7 separate regions of the Mus musculus genome follow, and regions 1, 2, 3, 5, 6 and 7 are each reported to be linked to region 4. The links are microRNA targets in miRTarBase. Many come from high-throughput screens and were not tested one by one. Region 4 holds a microRNA gene; each other region holds the end of a gene's coding sequence.
Evidence for each region. The annotated mature microRNA mmu-miR-466g reads AUACAGACACAUGCACACACA and lies in region 4 at 2,842-2,862, shown strand. An mRNA with a match to its seed (bases 2 to 7 or 8) in the 3' UTR can be bound and repressed. Matches are read on the target gene's strand: a 7mer-m8 pairs with bases 2 to 8, a 7mer-A1 pairs with bases 2 to 7 and ends in A, and an 8mer does both.

Region 1 (4,068 bases), not on the chromosome of region 4:
GCGGGTGGAGGGCAGGGTGGGAAGAGGAGGGCAATGTTCTCAGACCTCTATTCCTTCTGTGCTCTGGTCCACAAACTGGAGGAGGCAGGGCCGTGCTAGGCCGGGGGTCCACTTCCCACGCAGCAGCCTTTCGTTCTGCAGAGCCATCGATCCTTCCTTTCCCTTGGCCCATTTTCCACCTTCCCTTCGTGCTGCCTCAGGGCAGGGCTGAAGAGCTGGAAGAAAGCAGTCAGTGTAGCCTCCCAATGTCCCCCGAAGGTCTCCACTCTGCTCTGGGCTTCCCTTTGCCTAGTGCAGGGAGCCATCTCTGGAGAAGAAGCAACACTGTCCTTGGTGTGTCCCAAGCCTGGAGCGTATGTTCCCTGTTGGCCCACCCAGCCCCAGCACGGGAATTATTTCCTGGGTTTCTGTCCATCTAAGGCTTAGGTGTAGTTGGCATTCGTTCTTCTGGGGGTGTTAGTCCTTCTACTTTCTATCTCACCTCACCCTGAACCCCCTTCTGTGTCTCTGCAGTCTTCTCTCCCTCCCACCACCCATGTGCATGAGCAAATATGCAGCTAACCCTGGGACTTTGCAGTCAGTTGAAGCCAAGCTTCCCACATCTCCTCTTTGTTTGCCATGGGATGATGTGGGGCTTCCATCGTGTCTGTCATTACCTCTGTCTCTTTCCTAACCCAGTCTCACAGTTTATGTATAGTAGTAAGAGTTGTACTTCCACCAAAGGCATGTGACATATTTACCAATCTCATGTATTCTCAACAAAGGCGAAAAATACAAATTCCTACCACAACATTGACTTGATTGTTGTTTGGGCTGTGCTGGGGAGGGGGAGAGGAAGGTGGTGTCCTATGTTGGCTCTAGGCCAGAAGGGCTGATGTGTGTATTCTTTGTTCTTCCTGGAGATTAAAGTCTCTGTGTTGGCAGCGGAAGTGGTCTGTGTCTTAGCCTTCATACCTGAAACAGCCAGGCTTGCAGGTGCTGGTGAGAGGAAGTGCTGACAGGAAGCTGAGTGGGCACCAAATGCTAGCAGACAGCTGCAGGCTTTCTCAGCCCCTCCCAGGCCTCTCCACCTGCTTGTCACCTCTTGGGGGAGGCTTCCAGCCCGTACCTCCTTGGTCCTCATGCATGATTTGTTCCCCTCTTCAGCTTCATTTCTATTTTCTTTAGTTTTTCAAGACAGGGTTTCCAGTGTGCCCCATTGTGCTTGCCTTGTAAGTAGATTCTCCATACTAATTCTTCTGAAATAGCAAGTTCACTTCAAGATCTAGTTCTGTTTATTGTATGCGTGTGAGTGTTTGCATGTATGTATTTACAACATGTGTGTGCCTGGCATCCAGATCCTCCCCAGAGCAACCAGTGCCCCAGCCACGGGGCCATCTCTGCAGCCCTTCCCCCACCTCCTTTTAAGACATTGGTCTGTTCCTAATGTCTGCAAAAACTAGCTTCTAAACCCAGAAAACCTTCCCCCCACCCACGAGACAAGGTTTCTCTTTGTTGCCCTGGCTGCCTTGGAATGTACTCTGTAGACCAGGCTGTCATCAAACTCAGAGAGATCCCCCTGCCTCTGCTGCCTGAGTGCTGGGATTAAAGCATGCACCATCATTCACAACTTAATTTTTAAAATCTTAATTTAGGGCTGGAGAGTTGGTTCAGCAGTGAAGAGCACTTGTTACTTCTGCAGAGGACCTGGGTCCAATTTATAGCAGCTATATGGAGGATCACAACCTCCCACCCCGACCCCAGCCCTCTGTGTGTCCCCGGGGATCTGACACTCTCTCCTGGTACCAGGCACACAGGTGGTGTACATACACACTTGCACACAAAACACTCAACACACATAAAATGGTAAGATAAATAGATCTACTAAAGAGAACTCTCAGAGGACCTAGGTCTCGTTTGCAGCACCCACATGGCCACTAACACCTGTAGGTAGCTACAGTTCCAGGGGATCCAGGGCCCCGTCTGACCTCTGCAGGCATCTGGGTGCGTGTGGTACACATACACACAGGCACACTCATGCACAGATATTTTTAAAGATGCATTTGTTTTTATTTTATGCATATACCTGTTTTTCTAGCATGTATGTGTGAGTACTACATGCATGTCTGGTGCTTTAGGAAGACAGAAGAGGGCGTTAGACTCCTGGAATTAGTTACAGATGGTTGTGAGCTACCATGTGGTTCTGGGAACCAAATCCAGGTTGTGTAGAAAATCTACCAGCGCTCCTATCCACGGGTTGCTATCTCTCTAGCCCCCCACTTTACTTTTGATAACAGACATCATAATTCATGGTCTTTATAGGCTCGGATGCACTGTATCCATAAGGTATTTCATAGCAGTGAGCACAAGGAAGCTCTCGTGCAGCTGAGGGAGTGTTGTATAACTCTCCCAAAACTCCTGGCAGCTGTCTGAAGGGTCAGAACCCTAATATCTGATGATGTAACGGTGCAGATGTAGCCCAGGGCCTCTGCTTCGTACCTTGAAACAACGAGTTGGGAGTTGGAGCAGCTAGGAATGTTTTGGAACCAACAGGGAGAGAGAGAAGAAAGTGCGCTGTAGTCACAGCATGTTTTTATTTTGACAGTGTTGGCATTCATGAGTGGTCACAGCCTCTCCCGCTTCCCTCACTTTGATCCTTTTTCTAAGAGAATTTTTTTACATCTGACTTTTTTTTCATTTACTCATTTTACATTCCAATATCAGTTCCCTCTCTCCTTCTAGTACCTCTGCATGAAGACCCACCCCCATTCCTCCTTCCCTTTCTCCTTTGAGAAGGAAAGCCCTTTTTAGGTAACCCTCCCCTGTGTGTCCCCCCACCCCCGATTTCTTTTTTTTTCTTTTTTATTAGATTTATTTATTTATTATATGTAAGTACACTGTAGCTGTCTTCAGACACTCCAGAAGAGGGAGTCAGATCTCGTTACAGATGGTTGTGAGCCACCATGTGGTTGCTGGGATTTGAACTCCAGATCTTCGGAAGAGCAGTCGGGTGCTCTTACCCACTGAGCCATCTCACCAGCCCCCACCCCCGATTTCTTAATACCTCACATAGATGGTGTTAGCTTCCACTTTGATAATTCTGCCATCCTCTTGTCCTGTCCCTTTTCATCAGCCCAGGGCTCTCTTCTCAATAGCACAGAAAGCAGAGACTTGTACAGTCCAGGGCCAGTACTGCACTCCCAATGTGCTGGCACCTTCAGGCCCAGCTCAGCCCCACACCTCACACGGGGTCCTTTAAGTAGCCAGGATGTGGAGTACTTTACTTTGTATTCGGAGGCAGGCAGGCGGCTACCCAGAATGCCTCATAGGCCTGGTGGACCTTGATGAAGAAGCTGAGAGAAAAACGGAACAAGATTGTTTTCAATAGGGATAATTCCAAAAGCAGATGTTGGGGGTATGGTAGAAACATCTGGAACTCAGCACACTGGACTTCATCCCTGGTTTGGGTGGGCAGATACCTGAGAGTAGGTTGATCTACAAACTCACCTTGCTGTCTGTGAAGTCCCAGAAACAACAACAGCGCAGAAAGGAAGATGATGCTGGCAAAGATGACTCCCAAGGTTCCTCTCTGCTCTGTGGGTGAGAATGAACACAAGACCACATGCTGAGCCCTCACCCTCCAGTACCCCTCCCCTTAGGAGGGGAGCTCTGGCCTGGGTGCTGTGAATCCTCACGGAAGGACGGGAGCCTGCCCACGCAGCAGCACTGCACTTGTTCAAGACTCTCAAGTTTGTGTGTTGCTGTTCTGCCTCTTACTCCATCGGGGCTTTGTTATTCTGAGACAGGGCCTCATGATGTCCAAGCTGGCTTTGAACTTAGGAGTCCTGCCACAGCCTTCTAGTGCTGTGTTTATAGGCACACCCCACTAGACCCTATTCTATCTCAGGACATTTGAAAATGTTTTACAGAAGAGAATGAGGCTATCTCAGTGACTACCAGCAAATAGCTGGGGAATGATGTGAGCCAAAACAAAAGGCAAGCTTTGGGGAAGCTCATAGTCTAGCGAGCAACCAAATAGGTCTGGAGCTCTTGGATATTTCATTGTGAGGTGCACATCCTTTCCTGCCT
Region 2 (4,068 bases), not on the chromosome of region 4:
CTGAGCCATCTTCCCAGGCCGCAAATCACAAACTCATAAACACAACTAAGACTCCGGAGCATTGTGTATAAATACACGAGGAGACTGAAAGAGCGGGACATGCTGGTTGGTGCCCTCTGTCCTGTGAAGTATATGACAGTGTTTCCTCCCACCTGCCCCAACAGCAAGAATATGTTACATCAAAGAGAATGAGGCTGATACCAATTGTCAGTATATGCTCATCAACTGTAACAAATGTAGCACTCTAAAGCAAGTTGCAGAGGATGAAGAAACCGGGGAAGGGCAGCTGCCTATACCCCCCCCCCCTCACACACACACACACACACACACACACACACACACACACACGAATTGGTGGCAGGAGGATCCTAAGTTCAAGGTCATCTTTTGCTATATCATGTAGCCATTTGGAATACAGCCCTGGATATTCTATCTCAAAACAACAGCATAATAATAGTCTCTGAAGTCATCTTTAATTTTTTTAAAAATTATTCCATGTATATACAGTGATCTGCCTGCATGTATGCATGCAGGTCAGAGAGGGTGCCAGACCTCATAGTTATGAGTCACCATGTGCTTTCTGGGAATTGAACTCAGGATCTCTGGAAGAACTGTCAGCGTTCTTAACCTCTGAGTCATCTCTCCAGTCCCTCATCTTTGATTTTGTTTTTAAAGAAAAGTATCTAAGCATTTGATATATGGACTATTGAAGAATCCCATGATAGATTAGATATTTCTCTTTGTAGAGTTGTTTCAATTTTAAAAATCATAATATCAACACTTGATATTACCAGATTAATTTACTTAGCAACTATCTAAGTAATGGCCATCAAAGTCTGAAAAATAAATGCTCAGCCAAATGAAGTAAGGAAGCACTGTCTTGCCAAGAAAGGAGAAAACATTGCAAGATGAATCAGTGGACAAATTGCCCGCCACACAGGGCACACAGGTCTGACCTTGGCTCCCAGCAATTCATGTAAAAACAAAAACAAAACAGGTGCAGGAGGTGTACCTATGACCCAGAGCTGTGGAGGTGGGGACAAGATCCTTGGGGCTCAAAGGCCAGGCAAGTTAGCAAACCAGTCAGCCAGGTTCAGGGAGAGACCTTGCCTCACAAAGTGTCTGGAGGACTTGGAGAAGGGCGGTTCTGAGTTAAGAGCATCTTAACTTTGCTGCTCCTGCATGGGACCTGGGTGTGGACCCCGGGATCCACACTTGTCTTCATAAGCACCTGGAACTCCACTTCTGAGGCATCTGATATCCTCTTCCGTCTCTGCCAGTGTTAGCATGCATGTGGTGCATGTACATGCATTTGTGTGAACGCTCACACGTAAAAGAAAATCTTTTACAAAGGAAAAATGTCTAGGGAAATGACTGAGAAAAATACCTGATGTCAACTTCTGGTTTCCACATGCATGCACACACATGTACACACACACACACACACCATAGAAAAAGGGAAGGAGGAAAGAAACAGGAGAGAGAAGAAAGCAAAAACATAAGCTTCACACTGATAAAATGCTTCTAGACTAATTCACTGGATTACAAAAAAATACAGAGTAGGCTGGACCAGTGGCTCAGCAGGTAATGAGAAATACTTGCTATTCTTCCAGAGGAGGCAATTTGATTCCTTCCCAGCATCCACAGCAGGTGGTTCAGGACTGTGGATTCCTCCATCTCCAGGGGATCCGACACCCTCTTCTGTCCACTGGTCTCACACACACACACACACACACACACACACACACACACACACACAATAAATAAACAAAAGTGAATTAAGAAAATACAGAGGACAGGAAAACAGACTAGCAACAACCTACGTGCAACACCAGATCCATGCTGTGGGAAAGGATAGCGCTGATGTCCATTTTTCCAATAAAGAAGTTTCAAGTGGAGGGGGAGGGGAGAGTGGAAAGGATCTTTCGATTAAAAGAGAACTCTGAGTCCAGTCAGGCAGTAGCAATGCGTGAACTTTATTTGATCTTGATTCATACAAAGAAACTCCAAATTTCCCATTGTCTAATCACTTTATAAACATTGACTAGATACCATTAACTGCACGTGATGGTATTGTTATGAAACATTTGCAAATGTTCTTCAAAAGCTGAGAGAGCCTCACGTGGTGCAGCTAGAGATGAAATGGTCTTGAGGATCCAGTTGAGCATACAGGAAGTGGGGTAGCATAGGGCTAGACAGACAGAGACTACTGCCCATTAGAACACGACTGTTCACACTGGGTAATGACTCTGTACTGTTACCATGTTACGGCTCACTTTTGCAATGCTTGAAGTTTTTCATAGTAAGTTATTTTTTTAAAAAAAGCACGGTGTACAGTGGTTTTGTGAAAGCAAACCTCTGTATCACTTTATACCACAGTCTGGTCACCGTTACTCCCCCAGTCACTGGTTCTGTTTGTTCTGGCTTTTGTCACTTCCTCCCATGTAATCCAAGGCAGATCTGGCTCCAGCACAGCTCCTGTCCACCTCAGTCTGCCCCTAAAACTGTAGCCAGAGTGTTACATTTAAACACACTGGTTGGTGTCTGATACAAAGCCGAGCACAAGATAAAGGTGAAATGGTTAATGCACAGCACAAAGCCTGCCAGCTTCTCTCTGGCCTTCTGTGCCTGCTCTGTCTTGGAATATTCTCTCTGGCACTTCTTGAACCTTCTACCCTTGGCCTCAGCTCAACACTTACACACGTTCTTCCTGTGCCTGCAGTATTCTCTTCCCCCAAGCATATCTCGTCTCTCAGACCTCCCCTCAAATGCCACTCGCCTAAGGCTACTTCTCTTGATATTCTAGATGAAGTTAGACAGCTACTTCTCATAATAGCTCGTCCCAACTGAAAATTTAAAATATGGAAATCTTTGTTCAAAGTCTAGCTTCCCTGTTATACTCTCAAAGAGAGAGGGACATAGCTCTTCACTCTATCCCCAAAGCCTAGCATTTTGTTCTAGCAGAGGGTCAATAAATCTTTATTGATCTGTAAATGACTAGCTTGAGTGCTAGTGAGAGCCTGAGTGCTAAGTAAATGAACTTGAATATAATACTGGCCAAGTCATGAAACAAAACTGCACTTTCGTTATTATATTGAATGTCTAACTTAACCGGTATCAGTCATACTTGCTATCAAAAGATTGTAAATCTTTAATGTGTTTGTATGCAAGGCCAGGGAGGAAATTGTGAGGATGGCCTTCATCACAGATCCAGTCCCCCATAATGACCCCAGTACATCACCCACTTTCCAAAGAAGCAACATGCACCCACATGGGAGAGTTCCGACATCAGCCTCAAGTGTACCATTCATACAGAAAACGCAGATGCTCTGAAAGTGGGTTCAAAACTGTAAGCAGTTCTTTTAACCCTGACCCAGCCCAAGCAGCCTGTGAACTAAGTAGAAGCAAATCCAAAACACTGTAAGGCCAGCTCTTCACAGCTTAGATTAGTGAGAAGAAAAAAAACTACAGACTCACAAAGCAAATTTTTATTTTAAAATTTTTAGGATTTTAGTGCATATGAAAATATTTTATGATATGACATACAAGGATGTTAGCACATGGAAAATATTGTAGAAAATATTTTAGGCAACTTTAAAAATCACTATGCTTATTTTCCTGTGAACAAGTCCTTTGCTTACATGAGTTTGGTCATGGGACATTAAGAATATTTAGGATTTTCATATTATTGCTTAACAGCTTCTTAATGAGGCTTTGCATTTCTACCTGATCCACACATAATATTTTTCTCAACTCAGCATTCACGACGGAAGCCTTTTCTCTCAGCTCTGATGGTACACGCTTAATATTGAAATAATCTGACAACTTGGACCTGGAGTTGTACAGCATATTGATAATCATTTCCATGTCATTGTCTGGGTCGCTGGTACGTCCCTCTGGGAAGACGTTAGATCCGTACATCTGTTCCAACTTGTGCTCGGCGGCTGCGGCCAGGGCCAGGCTCCGTTTCAGGTGCTCCCTGGAGGCCTTGATGAACTCCTTGAACTCGGGACTATTATTGCCACCAAGAAGCCCCTGCTGAATCTCCGCATTAATATTGGAAATTTT
Region 3 (4,068 bases), not on the chromosome of region 4:
GGTATACTGTCAAGTTTTTATTATTATTATTATTATTATTATTATTATTATTATTATTATTAATTTGCTTTTTGTTTGTTTTATTGTTGTTACCATTGTCGTCACTGTTGTTTAAGATAAAATATTTAAGCTGTTCTGGAATTCCCTATATAGACCAGGCTAGCCTTGAACTCAAAGAGCTCCTACTGCCTCTGCCTCTTGGCTGGGACTAAAGGTATATGCCACCACACATGGCTTATTTTACCTTGAGACATGATCTCATTATGAAGCCATGGGAAGTCTGGAATTTGCTATGTATTTCAGGCTGCCCTCGAACTCACAAAGATCTGCCTGCCTACCTCTAAATCTGTGTGCTGGATTAAAGATATGCACCACCACAAAAGGCCCTTTGTGATTTATTTTATGTGTACAGGTGTTTTGCCTACCTGTGTGTCTTGGTACCATGTGTATCCTTGGTATCAGTTGGATCCCCTGATACTAGAGATACAGATGGTTGTGAGCCATTACATGGATCCTGAGAATCAAACCCAGGTCCTCTTCAATAAAAGAGCAGTCCAGTGCTCTTAACCACTGAGCCATTTCTTCAGCACACACACCCACCCCCAACTTGGTTTACTCTTAAAGTCATTTGTTGCTGAGTATATCACTCCATGGTAGATCATTTACCTAGACTATGTGAAGCTCAAATTCAATCCCCAGTAGCATTTAAAAATATATATGTATATATAAATAACATATATATATTATATACATAGGGAGAGAGACAGAGAGAGAGACAGAGAGAATATATGTATTGCCAGGCATGGTGATGCATACCTTTAGTAATTACAGCACTCAGAAGACAGAAGCAAGAGGATCTCTTTGAATTCTAGCCTGCCAGAGCTACTCAGAGACTGTGTGTGTGTTTCTGTGTATGTGTGCACTAAAATTATATTAAAAACTTAATTTATTTAATGATCCTGGGAATCTAACCCAGAACTTTGTCTTTGTTATTCAAATATTCAATCACTGAACTATATCACCAGCTAAAATAACTTTTTTGTTTGTTTGTTTTGGTTTTTGGTGGTTTTTTTTTTTTTTTTTTTTTTTTGGTTTTTTTTCGAGACAGGGTTTCTCTGTATAGCCCTGGCTGTCCTGAAACTTACTTTGTAGACCAGGCCGGCCTTGAACTCAGAAATCTGCCTGCCTCTGCCTCCCGAGTGCTGGGATTAAAGGCGTGCGCCACCATACCCAGCTTAATATAACTTTTAAAAAATCATTTATTGTAGCCAGAGAGATGATTCAGTGGTTAAAAGCACTTGCTGTTCTTCTAGAAGACAGAGGTTTTGTTTCTAGCAGCCACATGTCAACTAACAACCATCTCTAACTCCATCTAGTTCCAAGGAATCTCTTGGCCTCTTCTGGCTTCCTTGAGCACTGCATACACATGGAACACTCACTTATATGCAGGGAAAACAAAACACTTTTACACAAGAATAAAATCTTTACAAAATATTTTTAAAAGATCATTCACCATAAATCCTGCCCAGGCCAGTGGCGGGGGTGGGGGGTGGGTTGTCAATGGATGAGAGCACTTGTGCAAACCTGATAGCCTGAGTGTGATCCCTGGAGCCCACATGAAGGTAGGAGAGACTCTGCTCTACTAGTAAGGTTTCTTCTGACCTCTTCCAGCAAAATAACAATAATAATAATAATAATAGTTATTATTATTATTATACATTTTAACATGATAATAAAAAATAAGCTAACCTCATTTCTTGTTCTTTTATTTTTTTCCCTCATATATGTGCAAGTGCATGCCTGTTCAAACCTGTGCATGTGCATGCAGAGGCCAGAGGCTAATGTTGGTGTCTTCACTCATCTTCTCCCCCTTATACATTAAGGCAAGGTGTCTCAACTGTACTTAGAGCTTTGCCCATATGGTTAGTTTAGCTAGCCAGCTTGCTACTAGGATTTCCTAGAGGACAGAAACACACACACTACTGATCTATATAGGTTATAGAGATGGGAAATTTTCATGTTTGTGTAGCAAGCCCTCTAACTACTGAGTTGTCTCCCAAGGTCCTGAATCCTAGTCTTTATTTAAAAAAAAAAATACAAAAACAACAACTCTGACTTTATTTTTTCTTTAGGCTTCCATGCTGGTTAGATTTAACTGTCAACTTGACAGAATCTAGAGTCCCCTGTGAGATGAACCTCTCGGGGGATGACTATGGGGATCATCTTGATTGTACTGATTGATATAGAAATACCCAACTTAATTATGCCTTGATTTCCCTACCATGAGGGGCTGTACCTGTAGCTGTGAGCTAAAACTAAGTGCTTTCTCCCTTACATTACTTTTTTAAATTAGATATTTGCTTTATTTACATTTCAAATGTTATTCCCTTTCCTAGTTTCCTCTCCAAAAATCCCCTATCCCCTTCCCGCCTACCCCTGCTCCCCAACCCACCCACTCCTGCTTCCTGGTCTTGGCATTCCCCTATACCGGGGCATAGAACCTTCACATGACCAAGGGCCTCTCCTCCCATTGATGACCCACTAGGCCATCCTCTGCTACATATGCAGCTGGAGCCATGAGTCCCACCACGTGTTTTCTTTGAGTGGTGGTTTAGTCCCAGGGCTAAGTTACTTTTTTTAAAAAAAAACTGTATTTTATGTGTATGAGTATCTTGCCTGCACTTATGTATTGCACCATATGTGAGCAGCGTCTATGGGAGCCTAAAGAGGCACTGGATCCCCTGAAGCTGGAGTTGGAGACCGTTACAAGCTGTGAAGAGCACTAGGAATTAAACCCCAGTCCTTTTCTCGAGTAGCCAGTGCTCTTCACCCCTGAGCCATCTCTGTCCCTCCACTTCAGGTCCTTTATCATAGCAATAAGAGAAGAGAAGAAAAGAAGCTTCATACAGTCCCCACAGAACAAGCCAAGCATTTTAGACTTTGTGCCCCCACAGAATCACTCGCTTGGAACAGCTTAGAAACATAACTGATGCGTCCATATTAGCCAGCAAGGGCTCCTTTTATTCATTCAGGGGTGGGTTTTTGAAATGCAGTGCAACTTTATAAGATTATAAGTCAAGAGTGCCAGTAAAGCAAGCCAGCTAGGTGCAGAGTAACGCAAGAAGCTTGCTGGAACCTTCTAGTCCAACGGGCGCCCTTGACACCAGCGCTAAAGCTGCTGTGCAAAAGGTGTCAAACAGATCTCAAAATGAGACAGAGGTGCCTACTCCATCCAAAGCTCAAATCTGTCCATCTGTGCTTGTCATATACAACAATGTGCAAAACAAAACCCTTGAAAATATGTTCACACGGGATCACAGAGCAGGCTCTGCTGGCTGTGGCTACGGGCCTGAGAAGCATCATAGCTGTGCATGAAAAGTCAGGCAGCCTCCATCTTTCCAAATGCCAGCTGCATTGCCATCTGACTCTGGTCTGTCTACTACCTCTGAGCCCTGCCAGCCAGGCCTTCACACAGGGGTCTCCTCTGCCACCTTTTTTAAGAGTCCAGTAGCCAGCAAGGAGTGATGTGGATCCTCGGAGCCATCTGCTTCCCGAATCTTCAGGCGGACTTTCTGATTTGTCTTCCTCCATTCCGAGTACAGCTGGCAATGGTATCGGAAAGAGACCTGCGGGGGCAGTCCTGCAGTGGGTGGGGAGGTAGAGACAGGCCTCCACCCTGGGGAGGAAAGGGAGCCCTGGCATTTGTCATGGGCCAAACCTAGAAGCAGTGCCACCTCTGGGCATTTCCTGAATACTATGCATACACTCACCCATTCGGTCCTCTGAGGATACTCTGATACGCTCCGAGTCCTGTAAACATGAGGGATCTACCACCTTGATCCCAGGAGGGAGCATGACTCTAACAGTTGATGAGAATGGAGCCTTAACAGTCTCTTGGGATTATTTAACCCCAACCAATCACAAAATTGCCCAACCTGGAAGCAACCAAGGTGTCTCTTCTTAGGTAAGAGGATAAAAATGATGGTGCATTTACTGGACTGGGAAGATGGCTCAATGGGTAAGAGAACTTGCTTGAGGGCATAAGTTCAAATCCCCAGCATCCATGTA
Region 4 (4,068 bases):
GTGTCTTAGAGTCTTAGAGATTCTGTATGACTGGGCCAGGGAGAGGTCACACTCACCATGTGACGCCCCTTGCCAGAGTCAGGGTGATCAGGAGTGCAAATTCATGTTAACTGCGTGATGAGGTAGAGATCAGCCTGTCATTCATGTGATGGCCCCTGTGTATGTGCATGTGTGTTTGTGTGTGCGTACATGTACATGTGTGTATATGAATATACATATACATACACGCACACATAGATACGCACGCACACACACACACAGGGATGGCACTCATCAATCCATTTGAATGATAAGTGACTTAGAGTGAAAATGCTTACTAGAGTTAAGAGTATCAGGAGTTCAAATTCATACTTATCCTCATGAGAATTTAGAGATCAGCCTGTGATTTATGTGATTCCTCCATGTATGTGCATGTGTGTATAGTTGTGTGTGCATGTTCATGTCTATATTTGAATATACATAACATACACACACACGTATAAACGCAAGCACACATACACAGATACAGGAATGGCATTCGCCAATCCCTTTGAATGATAAGTCATGTAGAGTTTTAGAGATTATGCAATAGGGGACATTGAATGGTCTCACCCACCAGGTGTAAAAGATTGACAAAGTCAGGAGGATAAAGATTTCAAATTCATGCTTAATTCAGTTAGAGATCATCCTGGTATTCATGTGATGCCACCCATGTATGTGCATGTGTGTTTACTTGTATGTGCATGTGCATGTGTTGACATGAATATACATAACATAAACACATGTGTATATGCAAGCACACACACACACACACAGAGAAAAAATTGCATTCATTTATATGTTTGAAAGATATGTGACTTAGAGCTTTAGCAATTATGTAGTACTTGGCCAATGAAACTTCTTACTTACCAGTAAAATGTTTTTCATATTCAGATGGATCAGGAGTTCAAATTCATGAGTAACTTCAAAATGGTGTACAGATCAGCCTGGCTTCATGGGATCCTCCCCAATGTATGTGCATGTGTGTATAGTTTTGTGTGCATGTGCATGTGTGTATATGAATAGACATATACATCCACACAAACATATACAAGCAAGCACAGATACACACACAGGAATGGCACTCATCGATCCATTTGAATGATAGGTGACTTAGAGTTTTAGAGACTGCAGTAGTGGGACAGTGAATGGTCTCAGTCACCAGCTGTAAATGATTGACAAAGTCTGGAGAATCAGGATTTCAAATTCATGATTAACTTCAGTTAGAGATTATCCTGGTATTCCTGTGATGCCACCCATGTATGTGCATGTGTGTTTACATGTGTGTGCGTGTACATCTGTGTAAATGAATATATATATATATATATATATATACATATATATATATATATATATATATATATATATATATATATAACATAAACATACATGTATATGGACACACGTATGCACACATACACACAAGGAATGGAATTCATTGATATGTTTGAATGATATGTGATTTTGAGCTTTAAAGGTTATGTAGTACTGGTCAAATGAAAGTTTTTCTCACTATGTAAAAGCTTGCCATATTCAGAGGGGTCAGGAATTCATATTCATAAATAAATTCAAAAGAGAGTAGAGATCAGCCTGATTTTATGGGGTTCCCCACAATATATTTGCATGTGTGTATAGTTTTGTGTGCATGTGCATGTGTGTATATGAATATACATATACATCCACACAAACATATACAAGCATGCACAGATATACACACACACAGAAATGGCACCCATAGATCATTTTGAGTGACATGTGACATGTGACATGTGAGTTTTAGAGAGTATGCCGTGCTGGGCCAATGAATGCTCTCACTCACAAGGTAAAGACCCTTGCCAGATTCAGGATGATCAAGAGTGTAAATTCATGTTGGTTGCATGATGAGTTGGAGATCAGCCTGGCATTCATGTGATGGCTCCTGTGTATGTGCATGTGTGTTTGTGTGTGCGTACATGTACATGTGTGTATATGAATATGCATATACATGAGAGCATACATAGACACACGTGCATGTGCGCTTGCATGCGCGTGCGTGCACACACACACACACACACACAGAGGATATGTGATTTACAGTCTTATAGATTATGTAGTAGTGGGTAATGAATGGTCGCACTCATCATGTGTAAACAATTTGCAGATTCAAGAAGATCAGGAGTTCAAATTCATGCTTAACTTCAGCTGGACATCATCCTGGTATTCATGTGATGCCACCCGTGTATGTGCATGTGTGTTTACAGGTGTGTGCATGTGAATGTATATATATGAGTATACATGTACAGACACATGCAGCACACACACACACACGAATGCCACTCATTGATCCATTTGAATGATATGTCACTTAGCATATTAGAGATTATGCAGTACTTGGCCAGTGAGTGCTCTCATTCTCTAGGTGAAAATCCTTGCTAGAGTTAAGAGTATCCCGAGTTCAAATTCATACTTATCCTCATGAGAGATCAGCCTGTGATTCCTCCATGCATGTGCATGTGTGTATAGTTGTGTGTGCATGTTTATGTGTGTATTTGAATATACATAACATACACACACACGTATAAACACAAGCACACACACACAGACACAAGAATGACACTCATCAATCCATTTGAATGATAACTGACTTAAGAGTTTTAGAGATTATGCAATAGGGGACAGTGAATGGTTTCACTCACCAGGTGTAAATGATTGACAGAGTCAGGTTAATCAGGATTTCAAATTCATGCTTAACTTCAGTTATAGATCATTCATGTGATGCCACCCATTTATGTCGATGTGTGTTTTCGTGTGTGTGCATGTGGATGTATGTATATGATTTTGCATATACAGACACATGCACACACATGCGGCACACACACACACACACAAATGACACTCATCGATCCATTTGAATGATATGTCACTTAGAGTTTTAGAGATTATGCAGTTCTGGGACAGTGCGTGATCTCACTCTCCAGGTCAAAATGTATGCTGGAATCAGGAGTTTTAGGAGTTCAAATTCATGCTTAACTTCATGATGATTTTAAGATCAGCCTGTGATTCATGTGATTCTCAGCCATGTATGTCCATGTGTGTATATTTGTGTGTGCATGTGCTTGTGTGTATGTGAATATATATATCATACGCACGCACACACACACACAAATGCAAGCACATACACTCTCACACACAGAGGAATTGAATTCATCCATTAATTTGAATGCTATGTGACTTATTCTTTTAGAGATTATGCAGTAGTGGGACAGTGAACGGTCTCACTCGCCATGTGCAAACATATTACAGATTGAGCAGGGTCGGGAGTTCAAATTCATGCTTAACTTCAGCTGGACATCATCCTGGTATTCATGTGATGCCACCCGTGTATGTGCATGTGTGTTTACGTCCCTGTGTATGCACATGTGTGTATATAAATATACATACCATAAACATACATGTAAATGCAAGCACACAAACATGGAATGGCATTCATTGATACATTTGAATGATGTGTGACATAGAGCTTTAAAGATTATGTAGTATTGGGCTAATGAAACTTTTTACTCACAATGTGAAAAAGCTTCCCATATTCAGAAGGATTAGGAGTTCAAATTTATGAATAACTTCAAAATGGCTTAGAGATCAGCCTGGCTTTATGGGTTCCTTCCCAGTGTATGTTCATGTTGCATAGTTTTGTGTGCTAATGTATGTGTGCATATGAATATACATATAAATACACACAAACACATACACACAGGCACACACACACACACACACACACACACACACACATACACACACACACACACACACACACACACATACCCCGAATGGCACTCATTGATACTTTTAAATGACATGTGACTTAAAGTTTTAGAGATTATGCAGGGCTGGATCAGTGGGTGCTCTCACTCACAAGGTGAAAATGCTTGCCAGAGTCAGGAGGATCAGGAGTGGAAATTCATTCTCAAATTCATGAGTCCAGGATCAGCTTCGGATTCTAGTGATGCCCCCAGTGTATGTGCCTGTGTGTATATGTATGTGTGCATGTGCATGTGTGTATATGAATATACA
Region 5 (4,068 bases), not on the chromosome of region 4:
AAAGAAGTGAAATCTTGGCTGATATAAGGTATACAGATATATTTGGAAAGGTCTAGGTAGACGAGTCATTTATTGAAAGAGAGCTGCTGGATGGGTGATATGACTCAGTGGGTGAGAGCCCTTGCTGCCAGACCTGATGCCCTGAGCCCATGCCTTGGAACCCACATGGTAGAAGGAGAGATCCGGCTCCCCAGAGTCGTCCTCTGACTTTCATGTGCATACATACACACATAGACAAAATTAATAAGGAAAAGGAGTGAGCTGTGAGGCCTTCATCTGACAGGCGGAGCTCTGAGATAGAGCAGGACTGAACTGGTTGTCTCCTGGTCTGAAGCTGCAGTCCCTACTCATGGGGCTCAGAGGAACACAGCCCAAACCTGGAACTTCCTGCGTAAGTCCTTTCCATTGCTCTCCCTACCCTGCTCCTTCTCTTCTTCACAGTAGCATTCTTGTCCCTTAGGTTGGCTGTTGTCCAGTGTGTTGCTATTGTCTGGAACTCCTACCTATCCTGGAAGGCACATCAGTTCTAAGCGTGCCTTGTTCCATGGTTTGCACCTTGTACTGATGCACCGTGACCCTGGAATGCTTGGACAGCTTCTTCAAACTAACCACATCAGGACTGGAGCGGTGACTCAGCTGTTAGAAGCACGGATTATCTGCTCTACAGAGGACCTAAATTTGGTTCCAAGCACCCACATCGGGTGGCTCACAACTCCCTATGTCTCAAGCTCCAGGAGATCTGATGTTCTCTTCTGGCCTCTGAAGCACCTGCACAAACATGTATATACCCACGAATAGACACGCATTTGTAATTAAGCACACAATGAAATCTTTAAAAGGAAGGAGTGTGTCAGCTTCCATGCTATGGGGTTGCTGATCAGAATAGGGTGACCACTCTGAAGTGGCACATTTCACTTTAACCACTAAGACATTTATAATATTGCTGTCACTCTGGCCCTTAGCTGATGGGGACACACTATAAGAATTGTGTCCTGGGGGCTGGAGAGATGGCTCAGCCTGTAAGAGCACTGACTGCTCTTCAGAAGCTCCTGAGTTCAAATCCCAGCAACCACATGGTGGCTCACAACCATCTGTAAAGAGATCTGACGCCCTCTTCTGGAGTGTCTGAAGACAGCTACAGTGTACTCATATTTAATTAATTAATTAATAATTAATTAATTAATATAGAATTGTGTCCTGGAAGCCAGGCATGGTGGTACATGCCTTCAATCCCAGCACTTGGGAGGCAGAGGCAGGCAGATTTCTGAGTTCAAGGTCAGCCTAGTCTACAGAGTGAGTTCCAGGACAGCCAGGGCTATACAGAGAAACCCTGTGTCAGGAAAAAAAACAAAAAAACAAAACCAAAAAAAAAAAAATGAAAGTCTGTGTCAGTCTCAACCTAGTGACAATCCTGCCTCAGCTTCTCAGCTTCTCAAATGCTGGATTAGAGAATTGTGTCTTGGGCTACAGATATCGCTCAGTGATTAAGAGCACTGACTGCTCTTCCAGAGGTCCTGAGTTCAAGTCCCAGCAATCACATGGTGGCTCACAACCATCTGTAATGGGGTCTGATGCCCTCTTCTGGTGTGTCTGAAGACAGCTACAGTGTACTCATATACATTAAATAAATAAATCTTTTTTTAAAATCAAACAAGAATTGTGTCTTTAGCAGTTTTGTCACTGTGCACACATAAGGAGTATACTTATGCAGATGGTAACAATCAGTTGCTCAACATGGCCTCTTCGTGCACAAGCATGTGGTGTATTTTTCTGCTGCCAGTCTGACATGGTATACTGTTTTACAGAGAGCTTTTTCATATGTAGAACACTGTCATTAAGATGTATACGCTGTACATAATTGCACAAGATATACTTCCATATTACTGCCAGCTTGGTCTGTTTCCACCAGCATTATTGCAGATTCATGAATAATGCACCAAACTGAGACATAAGAACTAATGCTGCTATGTGGTAGGGATATTTCAGCTCCGCTATGATTATCTGAAGCCACCATTGTGTGTTGCCATCACTGACTAAAAGGTTGCTATGCAGCATGACTGTCTACATTCCCACCACATAGTATATTCCTCACAGATATTTGTAGAATAATATGACCTTGCCAACTTTACACCTATGTCCCAATAGCTAGCACACGTCCCCACTCTGTATAGATACAACTTCCTGTCTAGAGTTGAGACTTGAACTCAGCATTGTGGATGCTAGTCACGTGCTCTAACAACTAAGCAACATCCCTAGACTAGAGTGGCTATCACGCTTAACTTTTCTAGGTCCTAGTGCCTTTCGAGACCCTGTCAGGGACTTTATAGGCACAGAAATAGATACATTATTATCTGGGATCTGCAGTGGCTATGAATAAGACCCTTCAGAAGAGCACAGACCTGTCTGTAACTGGAAAGAAGCAGAGGCTGTTCATTTACAAAGACAGACGCCAATGGTTTCAGAAGTGAGGGACCTGACTACACAAGCTGGTGGCAGAGGAGGAACTTGGGCCAAAGTTTTCTCACTTCTACCTAGTGATTTCTTCGTTTTCGTGTGTGTGTTTGTGTGTGTGTGTGTGTGTGTGTGTGTGTGTGTGTGTGTGTGTGTGTGTGTTCAAAACTGGGTTTCTTTGTGTAGTCTTGGAACCAGCTCAGTAGACCAGTCTGGCCTCAAACTCAGAGATCTGCCTGCCTCTGTCTCCTGGGTGCTATGATTAAAGGAGTGCACCAGCACCACCCCAGCTCCTGACCTAGAAGGTAAAAAGGTATAATAGTACTGTTTCTGTGTTTCCTAGGAAAAAGCTGACTTTGCCAAACTCAGGAGGTACGTTAAGTTCTGAAAGCCAAACACCCTTTTATGCCATTCTGACACCTGTAGATTTTAGTTTGTACTGCTGTACAATGGTCAGTAGAATGGGTCAGACCCACTGTATTGGAGAGCCTTTGGGTGGGACTGTGTTGTCTGAGCCCCTGCCAGCAGAGCATTTCTGATCTCAATTTGAGGACCCAGTAGCCGGCCTAGGGACCGTGTCTAAGCAGCCCAGGCTTCTCCCCAGAACTTCTGTCCAGATTGTGGCTGTGAAGAAGTTCGGAACCACGGACAGCTCCACAGTCCTCCCTCTCTACTTGAGAAGAGAAACAACCCCTGACTATTCCTGCTCTGGAGACATTGGTGGTTCTGTGTCGGGGAAGGACTCTGCATCCGGAAGATCTATCTTTATGGCTCTGCCAGCTTCTCCCTCTACAGCCAGGGTGCTTCCAAAGATAGCTCCAGGGACACAAAGTCAGGATACGCACCCCTCTGGGGGCTCGAAGCTGCTGGACTCAAAGCTGCCGGTGTCATTGTTTCTACAATCAGTTCATGTTCTTCGCTGACGTCAGTCGGAGCTGTCCTGGTGCTATATAAGGCTGGCGGCGGTCCCGGGACAGACCCCGTGCTCCCCAAGGCGTCTTCAGCCCGTCCCCGGGGACAGAGTGGAGCTCCATCTTGCACTGGGCAGACACTCCGATAACCTGTGAGTGGCTTGAAGCAACGATCCAGACTCCCTTACCACCAAGACTCTGCACTCAGCCCACCCACTGTGACCTGCCGGGAGGGAAGGAGGGAGAGAGGGGTGGAACTGGACTGGCACAGCGCCTAGGGCTGGTGGGCAGGATGTGGACACCAGGCAACAGCTGGAGGGTCTCGGCAGGGGCACTGGGCGTGCGCGCCAAGGGGCTCGTGTTACCTGCGGCTGCTCCAAGTGCACCTCACCCTATGCTGCCCCTGTGTGTCCAGGGCAGGCGGCACCATGATACAGAGGGGACGCGCTACGCTCCTGGTGGCGTTGCTGCTCTTGGCACAGCTTCGCCCGGAGAGCAGCCAGTGGAGCCCAGCGGCTGCGGCGGCAACTGGGGTCCAGGATCCGAATCTGCGATGGAGCCCTGGAGTGCGGAATCAGGGCGGCGGCGTCCGCGCGCTCCTCTTGCTGTTAGCGGAGCGCTTCCCGCGCCGCGCAGGATCTGAGCCTGCGGGCGAGCGGCAGCGACGGGACGACCCTCCACTGTCCATCGACCTCACCTTCCACCT
Region 6 (4,068 bases), not on the chromosome of region 4:
TACCTGATGTGTCATTGAGGACTCTGAGGGAGGTGACATGGAAACTGCCCAGGAAAAGGAGGGTAAGAGAGCGTAAGATTACAAGGAGAGGGAAGGAGCTGAAGCTAAGTTCACTCTGGTCGAGGAGTCTTGTCTAGAGGCATATGGGATGTGGCCTGAGGGAGGGACGAGTCAGAAGGTTCCCTTGTCAAGTAGGAGAGCATTTGCCCCAGAGCGCAGCAGAGACAGGAGCAGGGACAGTCATCACTGGCCGCTTGCTGCTGGTGTCATTCCCTACAGCAAGACTGGCGTCAGTTGTTCCTCACGGGGGTGAGGTTAGAGCACAGTTTTCCTGGATGGTTTAAATCCTTAAAGTATGTAGATTTGTGGCTCAAAGGAAGGCCTAAGAAATCCCAATGGTATAATAGAGGCCACAGGTTAGGTAGGACTTTAAGACAGAGTCAAGGCAGAGGAAGGTAGCGTGTGTGAGTTGTGGTTCCAGGAAGAGAAACCACAGATGAGTAGAGGTATGACAGTTGGAAAGTCCAGGGAGGGGAGTGGACAGGGCAGCTGGGATCTGCGCCAGGACCCGCTCCTCACTGACTGTCTGTCTCCTTCTGTAGCCTCAGTGCAGAAGAACTGGAGGCTTTCCAGAAGGAACGAGCTGTGTTTTTGGCTGCTCAGAAAGAGGCAGATTTGGCAGCCCAGGCAGAAGCTGCCAAGAAGTGACCCCAACTTTCTACACTCTGAGAATTTGAAGTGAGAGGCTGAGAAAGGGGGCCACAGAGGAAGCTGAGCCAAAGGACTTCATGGCAACCCGATTTCTAGTTTCCTGACATGTTTCTGTACATTTGCTGTGCCAGGGGATCAAGCCTGAATAAATATCCTTTGTCATCAACTCTCAGCTTCTCTCCTGAGACCCCAGAGATGGGGACCAATACTGACAGTTCCCAGCCTTCACAGGTGTGAGCTGCCCTACAGGTGAACGCAGCCTCAACCAAGCAAATTATCATGCCCAGTGCCTTGGTCAGCCTTGTATTATATCAAAATAACCAAAGCTTGGTGCTTTATAAAGAAAAGGTATTGATTTGGCTTCTGATTCATGGTGCTGGAGTATGGCAAGGCTCACTTGCTGTATGACAGCATGGTACAGTGGAAACAGTCACATACATAGGGCCATCTGTGTGAGGTAGCCTCACCTGGACCAGTCCCCGCCTTAAGGCCAACATTAGTGAAGGTTGGACTCCCAGACCCCTCCGCCAGACCACACTTTGATTTATTCATTTTATATGTGACTGTTTTGCCTGCATATATGTGAGTGCACTGTGTGCATGCTTGGTGTCTGTCAGAAGAGGGTATTGGATCCCCTGGAGCTGGATTTATGGGTAGTTGTGAACCAGTATGTGGATCCTGGAGTTGAACCTGGGTTCTCTGTAAGAGCAACAAACAAGTGCTCTTACCTCCTGAGCCATCTCTCTACTCTATCCCCCTTTTTTGAGATAGGATCTCTGGATATCCTTGAACTCACGGAGATCCACCTGCCTCTGCCTTCCACATTGCTGGGACTAAAGCTTGCACCACCATACAGGGCATAGCCCCCACTTCTTAAGGATTCCACCACCTTCCACACTGGGAAGCAAGCCTTCAGCCCATGAGCCTCCGGGGCACGTGTCGTAACATTCAGGCTCTGAGTAGGTACAAGTGGAGTAGAGCCCAGGGAGAAATCCTATGTTCAGGGTTGAAGATGTTGTTTCCTGATGGAGCTGCTCCTTACACAAAGCCTCAACTTCTATTCCCAACACTTCAGAGCACATAAGCCTGTGCTCTTCCCTCGGGGATGAGAGAAGGCACAGTCGATGGGGTCCACAGACACTAAGGCTTGGCTGTGTTGCTTGTCTTTTCTTAGTATAACTGTTGGGGAGTTTGTATCTGAGAAGCAGGAGCCTGACAGAGAATTCAGACCACAGATAGGGTTATCCTTTATCCAGGGGCAGCTTCAGGCCTCCCTGCTGAGTTGACATGATTGTTTCTGAGGCAGAATCTCATTATTTAGCCTTGGCTGGCCTGAAACTGGCTGGCTAGGCTACAGCCTGACCTCTCAGTGCTCCAGTTAAAGGTGTGCATTACCCCACCCGGCTCCTTACTAAGTTTGGTTATTTGCTTTTTTAAAACTTGCCATTTGGGGCTGGAGAGATGGCTCAGAGGTTAAGAGCACTAGCTGCTCTTCCAGAGGTCCTGTGTTCAGTTCCCAGCAACCACATGGTAGCTCATCACCATATATAGTGAGATCTGGTGCCCTCCTCTGGCTTGCAGGTATACATGCAGGCAAAACACTACGTAGTAAATCTATAAAACAAAACTTGCTGGTTTTTTTGTTTTTGTTTTGTTTTGTTTTGTTTTAATGCTGTTGGAGATGAAACCCAGGGCCTCATTCAGCCAGAGCCAGGACTGTGTCCCTCTCAGCTCTGCCTCTGCCAAGCTTGTGAATCTACCCTGGGTCAGGGAGAACAGCCGAATCACAGCCCAGACCTACATAAGTGAAATTCCAGTAGACACCTGCCTGAGAAGTCCTTGTGGACCCTTGACCTGCCTGAGAAGTCCTTGGGGACCCTTGGTCTGCCTGAGAAGTCCTTGGGGACCCTTGGTCTGCCTGAGAAGTCCTTGGGGACCCTTGGTCTGCCTGAAAAGTCCTTGGGGGCCCTTGACCTGCCTGAGAAGTCCTTGGGGGCCCTTGACCTCCTGTTTTCCCATTCTACAAAACATCAAGTGTTCTCTCAGAAGAGAGGCAGAATTGACAGGAAAGATGAAGTCTGTGTTTGCCGTGTGTTGCATGCTGGGCATTATTTTTTGCTTGTTAACATTCTGAACAATTTAGTCAAATTTTCACATAGTATTAATAGTTCAACATTGTTTACTAATACAATTAAAACTTTTATTACGTGTATAATCTATTATATATAGGTATATGTCTTTACACACTATTACCTCTTACTGTTGAGACTATAATATAATTACATTATTTCTCCCTCCCAACCCTTTCCTATTCCCCTCTCTGCTCTCTTACATTCATGGCCTCTTTTTTCATCAGTTACCTTTTGCATATAGGTATATACATATATATTTCTTTTTTTTTTTTTTAAATATTTATTTATTTATTATATGTAAGTACACTGCAGCTGTCTTCAGACACACCAGTCAGATCTCCTTAAGGATGGTTGTGAGCCACCATGTGGTTGCTGGGACTTGAACTCAGGACCTTCAGAAGAGCAGTCGGGTGCTCTTACCCGCTGAGCCATCTCACCAGCCCTACATATATATTTCTAACGTCCTGCTCAGCCTGTGTGATGTTACTTGTATGTAGGTTTTCAGAGCTGGCCATTTGGAACTGGCTAACCAGCTGGCATGCTCGTCCCGAGGGAAGACTGAGCATTCCTTAGCTGCCTTTGCTTGTGTGTCAGGCCGGGGCCTCCCGGCGTCCCTCACCCCCCTTGGCATGTCCGCTGTGCTGTCGCTGTTTGGCTCATATTTAGATAGTCATGTTGGGGAGGCTTTCGAGTATAGCTTCTGCAACTACTGGAAGACACAGTCTTACGGTAAACCTCCTCGTTCGTCCTCTGGCTCTTACAACATTCTCACCCCTCTTCTGAAATGTCCCCTGAGCCTTAGCTGGAGAATGTTTCGTAGATGCGCCCATTGGTGCTGGCCTCCACAACTCTATTTTGATTGGTTGCGATTTTCTGTCCTGGTTTCTGTCTTACAAAGAGAAGTTTCCTCGCTAAGGGGTAAGGAGTACTCTATCTGTGGGCGTAAGAACAAACGTCTCCCTTTGGTTAGGGATTACGCTGGTTTAGTAAAGTAGTGGCTGTAGACTCTACTCGAGACCCATGGGTTCACTAGCTCCGAGTAGTTGGCTAAGTTACCCATTCCAGGCGTTGTCTCCCTCGTGTTGAGTGGGGCTTAAGTCCAATTAGAATCCTTGGTTACCAACGAGGAAGAGGCGCCACTACTGCAGCCTTAGCTCCGCCTTGCTGTTTGTTGAGGTTGTTCATGGTGTTGTATCTGGGGAGAACCATTGGTTGCCACTCTCCC
Region 7 (4,068 bases), not on the chromosome of region 4:
ACTGAGCCATCCCACCAACACCAAATGTATACCTAGCCCAAAATTGGAAGCCAGGGAGGTCAATCACAACAGAAGAAAACATAAACAAATTGTAGTGCAAGACCAAACATGTTCCCTCTTAACAGAGCCTAGCCAGACCACTGTACATATATTGGTGTATGGAGTCTATTCCTGCTGGAGGGCATCACTGTGATTAATTAGCATTGCCAAGGGAACTCCTTAATATTGCATAAAATAAAGTTTGTTTTGGTTCCCCCTTTAAAAAAAAAAAAAAAAAGATAGGTTTTCCGTGGCCTCAGCAACCCAAAACGTGCTGCATACGGTTTGCATGTTTAATTAGCGATCCTTCTGTGTCTGCAGTTAGCACCATGACAATTAATAAAGTAACTCCTTTAAAGCTCCATTTAGCTAGCGGAGGTGCACGGCCAGGTATAATGAACTCATCATGAATAAGTCATGGCTGCTTAACTATCTATTTGTTGCTAACACTTTACCCAACAGCTCCCACCTGAGCACAGCTAATGTCTCCAAGCCAGGCCCCGCTGGAAGCTGACAGTAAACCAACTCCTAGGAAGTATGCTTTTAAGCAGCAGGTATATGGTGCAGTCAGGGATCTTCTGAGCTTAGATGTCATCAGAGGTGACTGTCCTGGGAGCCGTGTAAATGGCTGATACATCTGGAAGGCCCAGGGCAAGGTGGGTCTCAAACTAACCCCTCACCTAGAGATCTTGTTAAAAGTCAAAGTATCAGCCCCAGACCGCAGCGCTCCAGACACAGGTGATCTGGAACAGTGATTTTGCTTTTCTAGCAAGTTCCCACATGGTGCTGATGCTGATGGAGGGATCGCTCTCCAGGAGCCCCCTCCCCTTTCTCTTGTGCTAGGGATGACTTACGATTTCTGGGATTCCCGAGTCCTTTCTATAGATTCTAACCGGTTTGGTGTAGTTTTTGGCATTTGAAACTGGGTCTCCGGAAGCTCGTGCTGACTTCAAATTCACTGGCTGCATAGCTGCAACAGGCCTTAAAATTCTGATCCTCCCGCCTCTGCCCGACTAGTGCTGGGATTAGGGGTGTGCACCCCTGTGCCTGACAGAATGGCAGTGAGTTTCCACAGTCCTCGGTCTCACTTACCACCTTGTTTGAGGCTGAGCCTCTCTAGGTGTTTGCCACTGTACCTTCTATGCCAAACTAGTTGGCCTGGGAGTTTCGAGGTAGGTGGGGAGGGGTGGTGAATGGGGACGGAAGGATAGGGGTCAGTGAGAGGTGGATTCTTTCATCTTGACAAATGAATGTGGGGACTCCAGCCACTTGTCATTGTGTGGATTACAGGTATCCAAAGCGGCAAGGGCTTTACTTGCTGGACCACCCCCAGCCCACACAAAGGCATCCTTTCTTCTGTTCATTTTCTGAGATTCTCCTAAGTTTTAGTGTAGATTGTTGTCTATACGCAGATGAGGGCAAGTAAAATATAAGGCTAGATTCTGTGATTGGACAGTGGAAAAAGAAGGTGGGCTGAGAGTTTTGCAGAGAAACAGAGAGACAGACAGAGACAAGGAGACAAGATGGAACCTATAGGAGAGGTAGATGAGCTAGATCCACGTGGCTTGAAATGGCCACAGGTAGCTATGGATAGCACAGAAGAGCCGTAGAGTAAGATAAGGCAATTGGTCCAATCAAGGTGGGCAGCTTGTATCAATAACTCGCGTTTTGAGTTCTTTGAGTGGGCATTTTGGGGGTTGAGAATTTACTGTTATAAATCTGACTGATCAATTACAAGCACGAATAAAGAGTTTTCTTTATTCGTGGCTGGGGGGGGGGGGGTTAGAGACTAGCCACAAGGGACAGATGATTGGGAATTTGAGCAGTTCAGCAGCAAGCGAGCCGAGCGAGCCTCGGGGAAGTTGGGGATAGCCATGGGGGAGGGGAGACCACCGTGGCTGGAGAGTAGCCGGAGACAGAGTAGATTGTTTTTTAATAATTACAACAGATGACATCCAACATATAAAGTGAAAAAAAAAAGAAAATTATTTTTATTACATTTATTTGTTTGGGGTATGCATGTATAGGTGTGGATGTGTGCATGCTATAGCACCTATGTGTACGTAGGTCAGAGGACAGCATGTAGGAGTTGGATCTCTGCTTCTACCATATGGGTCCCAGGATTCGAACTCAGGGTGTCAGCCTTGGCAGCAAGCGTTTCAGCCACTCAGCAAGCCCCCAACTCTTTTTTTTTTAGCTCATTGAAATTACTCTACGTTGTCCCCCAGCATGAACTGTTTCATTTTGCTGACCTCACAGCCCATACGGTCCTACGTACCCCAGCCCTGCAGCACAGCCTCCAACAGTTTTCAGTCTACTCATCTTTCCTAGTATTTTTTTTTTTAAAGATTTATTTATTTATTATATGTAAGTACACTGTAGCTGTCTTCAGACACTCCAGAAGAGGGAGTCAGATCATGTTACAGATGGTTGTGAGCCACCATGTGGTTGCTGGGATTTGAACTTCGGACCTTCGGAAGAGCAGTCGGGTGCTCTTACCCACTGAGCCATCTCACCAGCCCCCTCATCTTTCCTAGTATTATTACATCAGGAGATGGACTTTTGCATGTTGCTCAGGACCATACCCTGAGCCAAGCAACTTCCATCTTCAGGAGTTCAGCTGTGCGCACTTGCCAAAGATCATGCCAGCTGGGTCTGGCGACTGTTTACATCTCCTCATAGAGGGATGGGGAGATCACGGGGCCTCCTCTGAGAACCCAGCCACTCACTACCTCCTATGTATGCAACATTGCCCTAATTGCACATGGCCTCAAAGAGGCTGGAGGACACAGGCCAGCAGAGATTAGGGGAGCTGGGCTCCATCTGTGCCACTATAGGAAGGTCACCATTGATGCTATGTAAAAGCCCTTCTGGTGCCACATTTTAGGGGATGGAACCCACACCGCTGTAAGGAAACCTTCACCTCTGCTCTGTAAAGAAGTCTGATAACTCATTGGTGCCCTAGGGGAGCTTTGGTGGTGGTGTGCCTTGGTTGGTCTTTGGAACCTTAGGGGGCGGAGAGAAAATGTTTTTTGGCAACACAACATTCTACACACCTATTTATTCTTCTAAAGGGCTGTGAAATGCCCTAAGGTACCCATACCTCAATTGAAATGGCATTCTCTGGCTCCTTATCAGTGCACCTCTCACTTTGATTGGCAGTCATGATCAAAAGAAGGGGCAGCATCCCTATCTGCTGTGGGGACTGAAGATGCACACACAGGCAGAGTTCAGAGCCCACCATCGGGAAAGGATTCTGGAGACACTACCGCACCTCCATCAGGTGTCTTCCCTTTTGGGTTCACACGACGACTGAACCAAGCTCTGTGCATCTGCTGTTGAGTTGGGTTGGGTCGGGTTCTGGGCTCTAGAGAAGACACTTGTGGAACAGTGGCCCCAAGCCCAGCAGGAGCATCTCTAGGCGGTCAGCGTGCCCTCCAAGACAATAACAGCTCCGCCCTTTATGTCAACGCGCCCATCAGGTCGCAGGGAAATGTCCAGCTCCCCTCCTCGGCGGGAACACTGAAAGGCTGAGGAGAACACAACCTGGTGCCAATCAAGAGCATTTCCCCTGGGATTTACCACCCAGGGCAGGGTTGACTATAACAAACCCAAGACGCCTCCCAGGCCACTTTCCAGGATAAATGCCCCCCTCCCTGTGTCCGCGGCCCCTCCCACCTCCACCCCATTCTCCTGCAGCCCCAGAGTTCCACACACAGTGGCACACACACTGCCGGACCTTCCTTCCTGGGCCTCTGAGAAGGTCCCACCTTCAGCTCTGATATGAATAGAGTGAGTTTGTTTCTTCATTGCATATTAAAGCAGTTGTATGTGCCAGGTCACAAAAGAGGCACAGCCCTAGTCTTCCAGGGGCTCAGAAAGTCATTATACTCACCCAAAGGAGAGAAAAGGGGTTGTCCTTCTCAAAAGTTACATAGTAAGCTAATTATACTCATCAAGCACTTATTAAGCACTTATTTGTGTTTGGGGAGGCAGGGGTGAAGAGGGCTGGGAGTGGGAGATCATTGA

Region 1: miRTarBase lists Tapbpl as a target of mmu-miR-466g. Seed matches in the 3' UTR shown: 7mer-A1 at 2,921-2,927.
Region 2: miRTarBase lists Spesp1 as a target of mmu-miR-466g. Seed matches in the 3' UTR shown: 7mer-m8 at 3,467-3,473.
Region 3: the mRNA of Marchf2 is a reported target of mmu-miR-466g. The part of its 3' UTR that is shown has no 7-base or 8-base seed match.
Region 5: the mRNA of Mpv17 is a reported target of mmu-miR-466g. Seed matches in the 3' UTR shown: 7mer-A1 at 1,091-1,097 and 7mer-A1 at 1,556-1,562.
Region 6: miRTarBase lists Mrpl11 as a target of mmu-miR-466g. Seed matches in the 3' UTR shown: 7mer-A1 at 1,410-1,416.
Region 7: the mRNA of Pbld1 is a reported target of mmu-miR-466g. Seed matches in the 3' UTR shown: 7mer-A1 at 2,460-2,466.

The regions. Positions count from the first base shown.
Region 1 is chr6:125,221,378-125,225,445 of GRCm38, forward strand. It overlaps Tapbpl (TAP binding protein-like), which reads right to left. Exons shown (of 7, transcript NM_145391.2): 6 at 3,487-3,573; 7 at 2,828-3,332. The coding sequence ends at 3,289. Vamp1 (vesicle-associated membrane protein 1) reads left to right here. Exons shown (of 5, transcript NM_009496.3): 5 at 1-929. Among named protein-coding and RNA genes, the nearest start is that of Vamp1, 7.8 kb to the left of the region's middle.
Region 2 is chr9:62,268,774-62,272,841 of GRCm38, forward strand. Spesp1 (sperm equatorial segment protein 1) reads right to left here. Exons shown (of 2, transcript NM_025721.2): 2 at 1,956-4,068. The coding sequence ends at 3,652. Among named protein-coding and RNA genes, the nearest start is that of Spesp1, 11 kb to the right of the region's middle.
Region 3 is chr17:33,688,528-33,692,595 of GRCm38, forward strand. Marchf2 (membrane associated ring-CH-type finger 2) reads right to left here. Exons shown (of 5, transcript NM_001252480.1): 5 at 2,978-3,626. The coding sequence ends at 3,468. Among named protein-coding and RNA genes, the nearest start is that of Hnrnpm, 5.1 kb to the left of the region's middle.
Region 4 is chr2:10,511,801-10,515,868 of GRCm38, forward strand. It overlaps Mir466g (microRNA 466g), which reads left to right and starts at 2,795; the gene lies at 2,795-2,874. The region is part of intron 10 of Sfmbt2 (Scm-like with four mbt domains 2); the gene reads left to right. It overlaps Mir466d (microRNA 466d), which reads left to right and starts at 167; the gene lies at 167-262. Mir669m-1 (microRNA 669m-1) reads left to right here and starts at 990; the gene lies at 990-1,087. It also overlaps Mir669m-2, Mir466n, Mir669o, Mir466h and Mir297a-3.
Region 5 is chr5:31,138,243-31,142,310 of GRCm38, reverse strand. Mpv17 (MpV17 mitochondrial inner membrane protein) reads left to right here. Exons shown (of 8, transcript NM_008622.6): 8 at 461-1,648. The coding sequence ends at 530. Ucn (urocortin) reads left to right here and starts at 3,416. Exons shown (of 2, transcript NM_021290.2): 1 at 3,416-3,514; 2 at 3,778-4,068. The coding sequence starts at 3,791.
Region 6 is chr19:4,964,072-4,968,139 of GRCm38, forward strand. It overlaps Mrpl11 (mitochondrial ribosomal protein L11), which reads left to right. Exons shown (of 5, transcript NM_025553.4): 5 at 603-2,924. The coding sequence ends at 708. Among named protein-coding and RNA genes, the nearest start is that of Mrpl11, 3.8 kb to the left of the region's middle.
Region 7 is chr10:63,075,850-63,079,917 of GRCm38, reverse strand. Pbld1 (phenazine biosynthesis-like protein domain containing 1) reads right to left here. Exons shown (of 9, transcript NM_026701.3): 9 at 1,958-3,569. The coding sequence ends at 3,457. Among named protein-coding and RNA genes, the nearest start is that of Pbld1, 16 kb to the right of the region's middle.